2 linked regions of the Sus scrofa genome follow. The protein of the gene in region 1 interacts with the protein of each later gene in a biochemical or structural test. Links are inferred from orthologs where the notes say so. Each region holds a gene or a part of one and is shown on either strand. Other genes may lie near its edges.

The links.
Region 2: the proteins of GPRASP1 (region 1) and OPRD1 form a complex in vitro, tested with the Homo sapiens proteins (2 studies listed by BioGRID and IntAct). The link is inferred for Sus scrofa from reciprocal best matches to the Homo sapiens genes GPRASP1 and OPRD1.

The regions. Positions count from the first base shown.
Region 1 is NC_010461.5:83,764,076-83,768,209, forward strand, and holds the start of GPRASP1 (G-protein coupled receptor-associated sorting protein 1), read left to right. Parts: upstream 1-1,401; intron 1,402-1,504; 5' UTR 1,505-1,563; intron 1,564-2,899; 5' UTR 2,900-3,053; intron 3,054-3,523; 5' UTR 3,524-3,623; intron 3,624-3,812; coding exon of another isoform or gene 3,813-3,951; intron 3,952-3,952; coding exon of another isoform or gene 3,953-4,134. UniProt on the Homo sapiens protein: Modulates lysosomal sorting and functional down-regulation of a variety of G-protein coupled receptors. Targets receptors for degradation in lysosomes via its interaction with BECN2.
Region 2 is NC_010448.4:85,823,276-85,825,472, forward strand, and holds part of OPRD1 (delta-type opioid receptor), read left to right. Parts: intron 1-149; coding exon 150-691; 3' UTR 692-2,197. UniProt on the Homo sapiens protein: G-protein coupled receptor that functions as a receptor for endogenous enkephalins and for a subset of other opioids.

The DNA of each region.
Region 1 (4,134 bases):
GCGCCCCCTCCCACCTTCCTCCAGACTTTGGCCCCTGAAGGTGGGAAGCAGAATTGGGGAGGGCTGCCCCAGAACCCTGGCACCATCTGGCCTCAAATAGCCTCTCCCCTCCCAGCCTGCTTTCCTGATGTTTCCTCTACCTCACCAGACACGTTATGCAGGAAATATGGTGGGTCAGGCCTAAAAAGGGCCCATAACCAGATGGTTTGGCATTTAATCTGTTCTCACTTTAGTTCTGCTTTCTTAACTCTCTTCCACTTCATCTTCCTTTTCAGGTGACAAATAAGGAAACCATACAGTGGGATGAAGGGGAGGGGTGGGAGCTGGAGGAGGGAAGTGGTTCAGGAGTACAAATATACTTGAGTATTAATCCTCTTCCATGAGTACAGAGTTGTTTTCCAAAGTATCTAGGTGCATAAAATATCGCGGGCATCAGGAGAGGCGGAAGCATAAAAATAGCGTATGTACACACCAGAGTAGTGTGATATTAATAAGCTTCACTCCATGCATCTCTGCTTTCTCACCTTAACTTAGACCATTTTTGTGCAAGAGAGAGTAAGGGCGAGAGACTTAAAGAAGAACAAGAGAAGACTAAAGCATTTGGTATTGATCAACAAGTCCAACTTGAGCAGCTTTCCAGACGCCCCGCTCAGGTCCTGCCCATTCCTTCCAAAAAATGAGTGCTGGGAGGGGCGGCTTGGAGGGGACTCTCTCACAGAGGGGACACACAGATTTTAGAGAGGATGAGAATTTATCTTCCTTTCACTTTTCAGCCTCTCTGTCTCAAACCTTTTCCCCAACCTTCTTACCCCGACCCCTACCGCAACCCACTCACCCACCCCTGCAGATCTAGGGCTCAGGAGGGGAGAAATGTGTAAAAACTACATTTTGGTATCCGTCCGCCTTATTAGGCCAGAGCTGATTCACTGACGTCAACTCCCGAAACCGGCAACATTTCAGTTCAGAGGGAAAGATTGTATCCTGGGGCGGAGCGGGGAACTCCAGAGAGAGGTAAACTTAACATGAGACCCTTTGGTTTTAGTCTGTGTCTCCTCGTCCAGCCCTGTTTTTCCTAAATGCAGACCCCGCCCCCGCCCACCCAGCACACCGAACAGCCCGGGTGGGAGGGGCGGAGCTCGCCGGCAGAGGAAGGAGCGGCACTAAGCAAAGCGCGGTATCACTCCGCTTCCGTGAGGCCGGATCCCCTGAAACTCCTCCTCCGCGGCGCCCGCTGTCGGTTTTGGTTCAGTGGACGTGGCGAGACAAAGTCTGCGGAGGGAAAGGTAGCTGTTAAAGAGTCACTAGGAGCGGGTCGCTGAGGCGTCCTGGGGACGGGAAGAAGAAGGAAATACCCAAACGTGACAGTTCTTTGCAGTTACGGCCCTTCATCTGATAAAGCAGGTATCTCGTCCTGAATCCCAGGTGCAGGGCCCATCCCCAAACATAGTCGCCGCCATTGTCTCGTGTTCTTGCGTCCGTCTGACTGTCTGACCTTCTTTCTTAGGGCTCGGCATCTCTCGAGGCAAGGGAATGAGAAAACTGCTTCTGATCCAAGCAGAGCAGGTCAGTGAGAAGGCAGGCATCGCTTGGGAGTGTGGCTGTGGGTGTTAGAGGTGAATGTGGGAGATGTGACCTGGTCATGGGGTGCGGGCGGTGAGAGGGAGAGAGGGACGAGGGTCATTTGAATGGCATCCAACGATCAGTTAAAATCTACCTCATGCTAGCTTGATCTCCAGACAGTCGCCCCACCTCCGACCATGTTTGGGGAAGGAAAAGAGTGTAGTTAGCGGCTTCTAGTGGAGAAATGGCGGATTATATTAGGAGGAGGAGGGGGCTGCTGCTGTGGGCAAGAGCAGTTGTCTGGGGACCCCTGAGAGGGAAAAGTGTATAAAGAGGTTGTGTTTGATAATCAAGGCCCTGGATTAGAAAAGAGCCTCTTGTCCTGGCTACTAGGCTAACCGTTAATAACCAAGTCTCTCCTGCTGTCTTCTCATTTGGTCCTTTGAGTGTGTATCATGCGTTTATATCTGTAGGTTTCTTGCTACATTTGCGGTACTCTACGTTTCTGTAAAGATCTGTAGGGGTCAGCGAACTTCAAAAGAAAGGGGAAAGGAAAAAGGAATTTGGCCTAATTTCTGTAGAGTGGGCAGTGCTTGGATGGTTAAGACTAGAGCAGATAGGGGTCTTGGGGAAGCTCCAGATCTTCTTTCTGCCAGCTTTCCAAACAGGCCTCCCTTAGTCGCACCGTATTTTCAATGGTAGGCTTTGGGGAGGAGAAAGAAACACAAGAACTTAGATGAAATTTAGAAATAATACTTTTCATTGATTTCTCAGCCAGCTTCCATGGTTTTTCTGAGCATTCTACCCTTACTAACACCACTATCTTGGAGGAATGTCTCAGTTGTCTCTGCAGGGGAATTGTCAGACTTTGAGAATGGAGCAGAGGAGCTTGGAGATTTGGCAGAGGGGAGGAAGAAAAGGAGATAGAAATTTTTGGCAGTCCGGTACCTCTATCCAGAAAGAATCAGTGTCCTAGGTGCTGCTCTCTACCAAGGACTCCCATTGTCTCCTGTGTCTCTTTTTATCTCTACATTTGTGCATCTCTGTGTGTAGATCTATCCTTGGGTGTTTGGAACTCTCAATTGTTATGAAGGTTTATAAATGGTTAACCTGACTTGAAATAATGAAGAAGAGAAATATGTCTTGTATCTCTTTAGATTGTTGTGAGGGGAGAGTGATGGATACTAGAGAACGCTATGTCTTCTGTTTTGGCAGTTTACTAACCCGTTTGGTCCTTTGCTGATTTAGTTGGGAGTCTTCTTAAGTCTTGGGCATATAGAAAGGTAATATCTGCTTTATTACTTCCACTTGGTTTTCCTATTTTTGTGCTTCATCCTAGCCCAGTTCTGAAATAGGCAAGAGCCAGTGCAGTCAATGAAGAGGGAAACGGCCTGAAACAGGGAAGAGGAGCAATCATGAAGCAAGGCAATGTGGGAAGGGACTCGAAGGAGGGAAACGCTAGACAAATACAAACATAGGGACGGGGGATCAAGGTCAGTCTACCAAGAGATCAGTTTCCATATCTTTCTGTTTATTTGTCCATAGATCTGCCTTTAGGTCTGCTCTAGGACGTGTCATCACTGAAAGCAAGGAAAGGAAGGAAGTATTACTCCAGATTAGTGCGGGTTAGTGTGAGTGTGAGACTTCCTCAGTAGACCTGTAGGATGAGGTAGTGGAGATCTGCTTGGGTACAGTAGTGGTAAAGAACCAGAAGAGGGATTCTAAAGTCTCTCTCACTCCCATCCAGCTTTTCCACTCTCCATACTCCTATTTTGTGTCTGGAAAAAAGATCAATTGTACCTGCAATAGTAGGGAGCATAAAATGAAGGGGGAGAGAGTTTGCTAATTATCTACCTTTTCCACTTAGCACTGAATTTCCATGTTTCCCTGTCTCTCTGTGCTATCAACATGAGAAAAAAAAATGGAAAAGACTCAAAGCCCCATTTCCTTCCTCCACCCCTAGGTCCAACTTCAGTGGCAGATCTGGTGGCCTTGGAGTGGCTGAAGACCACCACCCTCCACAGGGCTGCGCTCAGGCACACAGCCATCCTTTCCTTCCCTGAGTGAGCTTCCTCTGCACGTTGTTCATATCATTGGCAGGGCCTATAGTTGGAAAGGGGGCTTGAGTGACAACTGGACTTTGTATGAAAACACCAACCTGGGACAAACCTTCAGTCAAGGCTGAGACGTGGGTGGGGATACATAACTTGGCCTTGCCTTTAACTTGGATCATGACTGGCTTCAAGGCTAAGGAAAGGGCAGAGGAGGGGCTGGGGCTGGCCTGAAAGTTGGAATCAGTGGCCCTGCCAACACTAGAGCCAAGGCTAATATCCAAGCCAAGGCAGTGACTGAGGCAGAACTGAAGACAGGACCAGTGATCCAGACCAAGACGGGATGGAGCAGTGGCCAGGACACAGACAGTGACCTACACTGAGGCCATGGCTATGACCAGGGAAGTGAGCAAGATGGAAGCTAAAACTAAGACTAGAGTCGTGGCTGAGACTAAGTCAAAACCCCTGGTAGAACCTAGTGTAGTGTCCCAAACCAAGTCAAAGACCATGCCTGTGTCCAAGA
Region 2 (2,197 bases), on another chromosome or scaffold:
ACATTCCAGGTAAAAAATCCCCTGGAGCAAAGGCCAGGAGGAGGCAGTGGAGCTTGACCAAGGGGAGAAGGGTGGGCGAGCAGGGAGGCAAGATCCTTAGACCCATAAGGCCCTCATCCTGTCTATCTTTGCTTGTTTCCCTGGCCCAGACGGGGCAGTGGTGTGCATGCTCCAGTTCCCCAGCCCCAGCTGGTATTGGGACACGGTGACCAAGATCTGTGTGTTCCTCTTCGCCTTCGTCGTGCCCATCCTCGTCATCACCGTGTGCTACGGCCTTATGCTGCTGCGGCTGCGCAGCGTGCGCCTGCTGTCAGGTTCCAAGGAGAAGGACCGCAGCCTCCGGCGCATCACGCGCATGGTGCTGGTGGTGGTGGGAGCCTTCGTAGTGTGCTGGGCTCCCATCCACATCTTCGTCATCGTCTGGACGCTGGTGGACATCGACCGCCGTGACCCGCTCGTGGTGGCCGCGCTGCACCTGTGCATCGCGCTCGGCTATGCCAACAGCAGCCTCAACCCCGTGCTCTACGCCTTCCTGGACGAGAACTTCAAGCGCTGCTTCCGCCAGCTCTGCCGCACGCCCTGCAGCCGTCCGGAACCCAGCAGCTTCAGTCGCGCCCGCGAAGCCACTGCCCGCGAACGGGTCACCGCCTGCACCCCGTCTGACGGCCCCGGCGGTGGCGCTGCTGCCTGACCCGGCCGGGCAGGCCCGCCGTGCGCCCCTCCAGAGTAACCCTGTGGCACGCCAAGTTCTCCTGGGGGCGGGGGCCACGACGCGGAAGGGGACAGCTGGATGGGGATGAGGCCCCTTCCGTGGGGTGGACCTTTGGTCTGGGGCTGGCAGGGGGCAGGAAGAAGGTGGGAGTGCTTCTAGGCTGAGCGCAAGGTCAACGGCCTTGGGTTGTGTTGGGGGAGTTAGCGAGCCCAGGGGAACGGGACCTGCCGCTCTAGAACCGGGCGGCTAAACCGGGCCCCTTAGATGGGGGTGGGGTCTCAACCTTGAGAGGGCCATGAGTTCTAATTGAAGCCAGGCTTGTGGGGGCAGCGGGGTCTGGCCTGAGACCGGCCCAGGACCCGGACAGGCAATGATGAGGAAGGTGGAATTGAGGGGGAAGACTGGGTCTCTGCGTGGTGGGGAGGGGCCTCCTTGGGGTGACTGGGAAGGACAGGACAAGAAGCTGCGGCGACAGCTCAACCTTGGGCCATGAGATGGGGCCTCTTTGCGGAGAGGGGCCTCAGCTTGGGGTAGAGTCCCAGCCAGGAGGTCATGACAGAGTCAAGGCCTGCCAAGGTCCAGGCCCAGCTTGACATCTTTATAAAGAGAAAATAATATGGAGAGAAACAATATACTTTCTCTCTCCAGTTTCCCTGGAATGGTAGAGATGCCCAGCATCCAAGGAGTGTCCCCAGCACAGTGTCCCAGTGAGGCTTGGGATGGGGCAGTGGAGCAGGGCCAAAGGCTCCAGGGTGGGGTAGTGGGACAGGGCCTCAGATGGTGTGGGATCCCTAATAGGGAGGAGTAAGGGGGGACCTGTGGGTCCAAAACCCCAAACCAGAACTGCTTGTCTGTCTCTGTGCCAAGGGCTAATAGGGGGCATCTGTTTTGAGGTTAGGTCCTCAAGCTGGAGGGCAGATGCTTTGGGGGGTCCTCATGACCCCATTTTCTCTGGCCTTGGTGCTGGGGGACAGAGGTCCACACTAGTTAGAGCTCCATGAGTGTTGGTGGCCCTGGGACTGGGTGGGGGGATCTGAAGCATTGGAGTGGAATTTTCCTCCTCTCAATCTCTGGCCTCTTGATAAGAACCACCAGGAAGTCCTCTCTCCCTTCTCTAACATCTGGCTGCACCCAGTACATCCAGGGAACTGGAACTGCATCCCACCCCAGGACCTGACTTTGAAGGAATGGGGTGGGGGTGGAGTGGGGGGTGGGGTTTATAAGCAAAATGCCAGCATCAGTGTGTTCTTCCGTCTCTCTCCCGCTCCCCAGGGTCCTCAGGTCCCCCACTTGCTCGAGTGCTGAGGGTGAGGTCCACCAGAGCTAGGCATAGAAGTTTTTCTCTTAGTTTGGCAATTTATTCAACCATTCCCAGATCTTGGCTTCCCCCAGGATCAGGGTCTGGCTTGTTTCCTGTGCCTCTTGTGTGGTTCATCCCCCCCATCCCCCGCCTCTCTCTGTCACACACCCCTGACTCCCTATTGA